Linked DNA regions of Macaca mulatta. The protein of the gene in region 1 purifies or fractionates together with the protein of each later gene. This does not show direct contact. Links are inferred from orthologs where the notes say so. Each region holds a gene or a part of one and is shown in the gene's direction. Other genes may lie near its edges.

The links.
Region 2: the proteins of RANBP9 (region 1) and RMND5A purify together in Homo sapiens (affinity purification with mass spectrometry; 9 studies listed by BioGRID and IntAct, counting the BioPlex papers as one, with this or other methods). This does not show direct contact. The link is inferred for Macaca mulatta from reciprocal best matches to the Homo sapiens genes RANBP9 and RMND5A.

The regions. Positions count from the first base shown.
Region 1 is NC_133409.1:169,400,992-169,405,301, forward strand, and holds the start of RANBP9 (ran-binding protein 9), read left to right. Parts: upstream 1-1,322; 5' UTR 1,323-1,652; coding exon 1,653-2,232; intron 2,233-4,310. UniProt on the Homo sapiens protein: May act as scaffolding protein, and as adapter protein to couple membrane receptors to intracellular signaling pathways. Acts as a mediator of cell spreading and actin cytoskeleton rearrangement.
Region 2 is NC_133418.1:26,269,283-26,273,093, reverse strand, and holds part of RMND5A (E3 ubiquitin-protein transferase RMND5A), read left to right. Parts: intron 1-69; coding exon 70-236; intron 237-1,219; coding exon 1,220-1,385; intron 1,386-3,811.

The DNA.
Region 1 (4,310 bases):
ACGCCACTGCACTCCAGCCTGGACAACAGAGCGAGACTCTCTCTCAAAAACAATAATAATAATAATAAAGTACAACAGAACATCTAGTTGTCTGGGTAACTGAGGGAGAAATTAGGCCGAATGACTGTTATTTGTTCTGGCCAGATAATGTTGGCCTTAAATTAAATCACCTTTGGCCTACCTTCTTCAAAACGAAATAATTTTCTCTTCGGCAAAACATTTATTTGACCAAATGATTACCATCGTATCTTTGGAAGCAAACAAAATATCAGAATTTACATCATATAATTTACACATGCAAAGCCCGATTTTGCCAGCTAGGGAGGGATACGCTAAACAAAGGGAAGTGGTGAAAACAAAGTAGTAATGTTATGATGGGTCAGAGAGCAACACTTGGCAAGTTGTGCCAAATTAGTCGACGAAGCACTCTATTGGGAATTGCAAAGTAGGAAGTCCTATTTTTGACTCTGCTGACCTCAGTAAATATTTCCTTGTTTTAAAAATGGGCATAATTTTCTGTTACCTAAGAACAGTTATGAAAATTAACGAGTCTATAAAATGTTCTGACGTCTCTAGAAGCCCTTCCTAAACACACACTATAATTGTGTATTCATACAGTGCCTGCTCCTGGTATTTGAAGATATGCCGGTTTTTATTAATGACACCTTCTACCACTAAGTTCACTGTGAGTCCTCGTAAAATTAATTAATGAAATAGCCACTATTTTAACTGGGAGACTGCCTTCAGAAGTGGTTTCCCCTGCCCATATGGTCAATGTTACGAAATTAAACACTGTGAAGTACCAAAGGCAGTGCGTTCCTCTTTGGAGGGAGGCGGCAAACGGGAACCGGACTGAGAAGAGAGCTAGCGGCAGTGCGCGGGGAGCCTCAGCCGCTCCGCACGCCCCGAGCCGACGGGTCCTAGAGCGACCCGGGGCCCGGGCTCGCGGCGGCCCCAGCGGGGCTCGATTACTCTCGCCTGGGCGAGAAGCGGCGTCTCGGCTCGGAGGAGCCCTACGGTGGGGAGGTGGGGCGACGACAACAAAAAGAAGTCAAGTGGGAGGGGATTCGCCGGCGAGGGGGGAGACGGCGGCCGCCTAGCGGGAGGAGGCGGACATCTCCGAAGGGACCTGCGGCGCCGGGAGCCCAGCGATCCTGCCCACGAGCGACTGGCGGGTCCGGGAGGGCGCCTCGCGGCGTGCAGCCGGGAGCCCCGCGGCCCGCCCCTCGCGCAGCTCGCGCCTCTCTCGCGCCTCCGTCCCGCCCCCTCGCCTAGCACCGCCCGCGCGCAGCGTCTCGCGCCGGCCGGGCCCGCCCGCCGGGAAACAGCCGCGAGAGCAGCGGCCGCGGCGGCCGCCAGCGCGCCTTCCCCTCCCGCGCTACCGCGTCGCCCCCGCCCTCGGCACCTCGTCCCCGGGCCGCGCGCCCGCGCTCCGGCCAACGTTCTCTCCCGGCCTCCCGGGCCCGCCGCCCACTCCCGCGTCTCCGAGCCCCTCAACCGCCGCGGTCTCCCTGGGCGCGCGGCCCGCCGCCTGCTTCCGGGGCGGGCGGACTGGGCGCCTGGTGCCGGCGGCCGCAGCGACAGCGCCCCCGGGAAGCAGAGGAGGAAGGAGAGAAGAGGTGGAGGTGGCCGCAGGCTGAGTCGCGGCCGGGATGTCCGGGCAGCCGCCGCCGCCGCCGCCGCCGCAGCAGCAGCAGCAACAACAGCAGCAGCAGTTGTCGCCGCCACCGCCGGCGGCCTTGGCTCCAGTGTCCGGAGTCGTCCTGCCGGCGCCCCCGGCCGTCAGCGCCGGCTCCTCTCCAGCCGGCTCGCCCGGCGGCGGCGCGGGCGGCGACGGCTTAGGGGCCGCGGCGGCCGCCCTGCTCCTCCACCCCCCGCCGCCGCCGCCCCCGGCCACCGCGGCCCCGCCGCCCCCGCCGCCGCCCCCGCCGCCACCTGCCTCAGCGGCCGCCCCCGCCAGCGGGCCCCCAGCGCCTCCGGGCCTCGCCGCGGGCCCCGGCCCGGCCGGAGGCGCCCCGGCCCCAGCTCTGGTGGCGGGCAGCAGCGCCGCGGCCCCCTTCCCGCACGGGGACTCGACCCTGAACGAGCAGGAGAAGGAGCTGCAGCGGCGGCTGAAGCGCCTCTACCCAGCCGTGGACGAGCAGGAGACGCCGCTGCCTCGGTCCTGGAGCCCGAAGGACAAGTTCAGCTACATCGGCCTCTCTCAGAACAACCTGCGGGTGCACTACAAAGGTACTGGGCTTGTGTCCTGCCGTGGGAGTGGGGCACTGACCCGACGTGGCCGGCCACCGCTGCGCCGCTCTCGACCCGCCCCCGACCTCCCCCGACCCCCGCCCTCGCGGGCTCTGCCCTCGGAGGCCACTCGCCGCTTGTTGTGCTGCTCCGGGTGGGCGCGGGGGTCGCGGTGAAGGATCCGAGGGTGAGGGGCGAGATTCTTGGAAGAGGAGGGTGAGTAGAATGCTCCAGGGTAGGAAGGAGCTGGTAATCTTAGGCCAGGAGCAGGACACCTTGAGGGAATCCGGGATGACAGGACAGAACTGGCTTTCTGATTTCCCTGGGAGATAAATCTTGGGGCTTGGGTAGAGGAATCCATGGACTCGGAGTTGGGTTACATTGTTCTCCAGGTGGTGGGTCAGGCGTTCTCCTCTTACAAGGAGGGAAGAGAGGCACGATTCTGAGGTATGATTTCTAATTAAGAGAGAGCAGGGATACGCAGGGGGAGGAGTAATCAAAATTAGGCCAGAGATTGTCTAGGGGGACTAAAGGACAAGGGACCCAAGTTTGCCATCAGTATATCTTAGTGAAAGCAACCGGGAGGGTAAGAGAAGGGAACCCCAGGAGCACCATTTTTCTTAGGGGAGCAGAAACCTACCTCTCCCGATTGGAAGTACTCTATACAGGTCCTTAGGTGTTGATGTTATATGAAGCCTTGTTGAAAACGAAGATGGAACAAAATGCAGCTTAGTATTTTGAAGAAAATTGGCTTATGTTTTCCACCTGCAGTTAAAAACAACAACCTTAGGTTTGTGCTTGCCCCCTTCCTTCCTCACCTACCTCTCCTAGGTTAAAACAAAGCTTGAAGCAAATCAGTTGTATATAAAATTATGAATTGCTATGGGAACTATTGAAATGTGGCCCAATTTAATAGCGTGTATCAAGTTTACTTGTGTGGAAGAAAAAAAAAAATCAATCTAACGTATCAGTCTGTCTGGAAACAAATCCAGGGTTTTAGGCCCCAAATCTAAAGCAGGAGCTTTTTACATTCACGGCAGCCTCACTTTGATTGGCTACAAAGGGGTCTGCTCAGATCCTAGTGACATGTATGTAGAGGGGATAAACAACCTTGTGGTTAAATTCTTATATGGGACTAAAATTTAAGAAGAAGCTTGATAAGTAAGTTACTATTTAACCAGAAAGGCGAATGGCAATACAAATCTACCAAATGATTTGGCTGCAAAGAATCACGCACAAAAATAGGCCTTGAACATTTTTTAATTCTTGCATACATCCAAAGAAGTACTTCTAAGTGTTATCTTCCTTAATCTAAACGTCTAAACATTTCATTCACAATATCAAATCTTTGTTTTATCTTAAGTTAGGACATTTTGTTAATTTCCTTGTGAAATATTTCTACTTTTATGTTTTAATTTGTGTGAACGGTGCTATGTTATGAAGTGTTTACTTCTGATCTGGCTGCCAGAAAGCTATTGTTAGATGTGACAGAATTTTATAATTTTAAATTTATGGTTGACAGTAATTTGCTCATAAAATCAGAGCCAGTATAGATGAACAAAGAATCCTAGATTTCCTGAGTTCTGCAGTCGTTTGTGGTTGTGGATATTTTACAAGACTGGGCCTCAGTTTCTTCCTCTGAGTGATGTGTAAGTTGAGCTGGAAGATTGGTAGGGAAATTTACAGCTCTGAATTTCCGTGATGTCTACGATTCGTGATTACTGTTTATTTAGTACTGTAAGGTGTCTTGATTAGTTTTAGTCTTTTACATAAGATTCATGATTTAGGTCAGAGAAAAATATATGTTTATGTGAAATTAGTTGGAGTTTGAAATATTTCTGACACTGCTACATTCCTGACACTGCTGTCTCAATTGTTTTTATTCTTGGCCTCTTTATTACTTTCTGTTGTGTAATACTAAGATTCACTTTCTGGGAACATAACTTTTATAAACATAAATCATTATTTCTTCCAGAACAGATTTTGTTCTTCCAGAAATTTTGTTATCCTTTTTATTTTCTTTCCCTTTCTTCTGTCTTCCTTTTGTCTCTCCCTTACCCCTTGTCAGAAAGTCTTTT
Region 2 (3,811 bases), on another chromosome or scaffold:
AAATAGTTTTTAAGACACATTGCTTATGCTTTTGATTATTCTTAAAGTTTTTTTTTGCCTTTTCTTTAGGTGGGCAGTATCAAACCGGGAAATGCTTATAGCTCAAAACAGCTCCTTGGAATTTAAGCTACACAGACTGTACTTTATTAGCTTGTTAATGGGTGGAACCACAAATCAACGAGAGGCATTACAGTATGCTAAAAATTTTCAGCCATTTGCCCTGAATCATCAAAAAGGTGAGTCTGGAGTCAGATGTTATTAATGTTTGAAACAGGGCTATAGCCACCACTATAACTTAACGGTTCTTATTTGTTTGTTTTGTTTTTTGTTTTTGTTTTTTGTTTTTGAGACGCAGTCTCGCTCTGTCCCCGAGGCTGGAGTGCCGTGGCGCGATCTCGGCTCACTGCAAGCTCCACCTCCCGGGTTCACGCCATTCTCCTGCCTCAGCCTCCCGAGTAGCTGGGACTATAGGTGCCCGCCACCATGCCTGGCTAATTTTTTGTATTTTTAGTAGAGATGGGGTTTCACTGTGTCAGCCAGGATGGTCTGGATCTCCTGACCTCATGATCCACCCGCCTCAGCCTCCCAAAGTGCTGTGATTACAGGCGTGAGTCGCCGCGCCCAGCCCAACTTAATGGTTCTTATCTAGAGCTAATACATGTTTGCCAGTAAACAGTTGTAGTTGATAATCACAGGAAAAGCTCTGACTGGCTCTAGAACAAAAACAAAAATATTAAAGCCTCTTAGAAGTCAGAGATGTTGCAGATTTTGGAATTCCATATTAAACTGAGAGGAGATCTGAGAAAGAGCAAGGTGTGCACTTGCTCTCGTCTACCCCAACCTGGCTGTGTGCTGCTTGTTTTGCCACAACAAAGTGTCAGAGAGCCAAGGCAGCAAATGTTAACCCCACGTATTTGTGTAGGAATACATTAACTCTGCAATCAGAGATAATGTGATGACATAATTGTTACTCCTGTAGGTAATGGTAATTATACTATGCTGTATATAAGAATTTAAATTATAAGTTCAGTATTTTCACTCCTTTCCTTTTCTCTCCATGCTGTTTAAGATGAAGGAAGAAACCCAGCTTAAGGACCAGAATTTTAAAGACCTGTTAATACATTATTTTAGGCTGTATCAGTATGGGTGGGGGTATTCTTGCTTTTCGCAGCTTATTACTGCAAGCAAACTAATGCTTTCTTGCTGGTACTTTTTTTAGACATTCAGGTTTTGATGGGAAGCCTTGTGTACCTGAGACAAGGGATTGAGAACTCACCGTATGTTCACCTACTTGATGCAAACCAGTGGGCTGATATCTGTGACATCTTTACACGGGATGCTTGTGCCCTCCTGGGGCTCTCCGTGGAGTCCCCTCTCAGTGTCAGGTATGGAAATTGGCCCTGTCTGTTATTGAAGTATGCACTGCATTAGTCACCTCCCCTTAACTTGTTTGGTTCTTGATATTTAAAGCCAAAAGAACTTTTGTCTTTCTGAAGAAGAGTGCAATTGGTATTTCAAAAGATATCACAATTGGCAGTAACTCTGTTTTAGAGAAGCAGTTTTGAAAGTGTGGTGTGTGAACCTCACAGGATCCTGAGAGCCTTTTCCACTGTATTGATATTAGTACAGATGGTCCAGAAACAGTGGTGGATTAAACTGCTAGAGCCTTTACACAAGTCGGGGCGGTGGTACAAATTCCACAGATACTTGCTGGATTCCTCACCACCACACCCTTGCAGTTTAAGAAATGCTAGTTTTACTTAACCACACCTGTAATCCCAGCATTTTGGGAGGCCAAGGAGGGCAGATCACGAGGTCAGGAGTTCAAGACCAGCCTGACCAATAGAGTGAAACCCTGTCTCTACTAAAAACACAAAAAATTCGCCAGACGTGGTGGTAGGTGCCTTTAATCCCAGCTAGTTGGGAGACCGAGGCAGAAGAATTGCTTGAACCCAGGAGGTGGAGGTTGCTGTGAGCCGAGATTGCGCCATTGCATTCCAACCCATGCAACAGTGCGAGACTGTGTCTCAATTAAAAGAAAGAAAGAAAGAAAGAATATTCTCGACCTGGTGTGGTAGCTCACATCTGTAATTCCAGCACTTTGGGAGGCTGAGGTGGAGGGAATCTCTTGAGGCCAGGAATTAGAGACCCACCTGGGCAACACAGCTAGACTCTATTTCTCCAAAATGCTTTTTAAAAAACGGATGTTCTTGATGAAACATTAAAATTATTAGTTTTATTACATCTTGACTTTTCGGTACACATCATCTTAATAATTTGACAAAATAGGAAATCCACATAAAGCACTTCAGTTTCTTGTCGAAGTATGGTAATTTTCTTGAGAAAAAGCATATTGTTTTGAGTTATAAGCTAGCTAGTCACTTTTTATCATGGAATACTTTTTTTGTTTCTTGTTTTTTTTCTTTTGTTCGTTTGTTTTTTTTTGAGACGGAGTCCCCTGGCTGGAGTGCAGTGGTGCAGTCTCAGCTCACTACAGCCTCCACCTCTTGGGTTCAAGCAATTGTCCTGCCTCAGCCTCTGGAGTAGCTGGGATTACAGGTACCTGCCACCATGCCCAACTAATTTTTGTATTTTTAGTAGAGACGAGGTTTCATCATGTTGGCCAGGCTGGTCTCGAATTCCTGACCTCAGGCGATCCACCGCCTCGGCCTCGGCCTCCCAAGGTACTGGGATTACAGGTGTGAGCCACCACACCAGCCATGGAATAGGTTTTACTTGAAAGAATCATTAACACAGTTACCCACACTCAGGTCTTTGGCAGTCTTTTTTTTTTTTTTTTTTTTTTTAATCTTTTTTCTTAAATTTTTCAGAGACAGAGTCTTGCTGTGTTGTTCAGGTTGGACTCAAACTCCTGGGCTCAAGTGATTCTTCTGCCTCAGGCTCCTGAGTAGCTGGGACTACAGTTGTGTGCCACATCACCCAGCCATGTTTTTAAGTGAATGAAGCAAGCCTGTCACATTTGAAAGGTCTTAAGTATGATCCTACAAAAGCATGCATGAGTAAAAGAGTCATTCAAAGTACAAGACAGACAAATGGATTTTAATGTAGCAGGGTACAAAAAGTTTAATGGTAAAGTTTCAGATTTTGCTCTGCAACCAACCTTTAGAAAACTACTACCAGTTTTGGCCAGAACTGAAAAGTCAGTTTTGGTGTGGTATTGAGGAGGAGTTTCCACAGTGATCCAAAGCGATCAAAGTAGTGCTACACATATGTGTGAAACAAGGTTTTTTTTTTTCATTTATCTCAACCAGAAGAACATACCACAATAGATGTAATGCAGAGTAAGCTATAATAATCTAGCTGTCTTCTGTCAAGGTAGGCATTCAGGAGATTTGTAAAAGTGTGAAACAGTGCCACTCTTCTCACAAATATATTTTTGTTTTGGAAACTAGTTTTTTTTTTTTTTTTTACAAGAATGTTGTTTTTAATAATGGCATGGTATTTTATTTTTACATGGACTAATCGCAACTTTTATGTTTCTCGTTTTAATTTCTAATGCATTAAAGATATAACCCACAAAAAGAAAAGCTCTTTGAGATCCTTAATATTTAAGCATATAAAGGGGTCCTGAAACCAAAACATTTTAAGAACCTGTTTTAAGAAAATAACTTAATTCCACAAATGTTTTGTATATTTGCTATGTGCGAGGCACTGTGGGCACTGTGTTGGATATAAGATGAATAAGGTGTATTCCGCAGGGTTCTCCATCCTAGCATAGGAGCAGACAGATGCAATTAGCTATAATGTGAGGCATTGTTGCCGTCAGTCTGTCTGAGGAAGACTCTGAAGT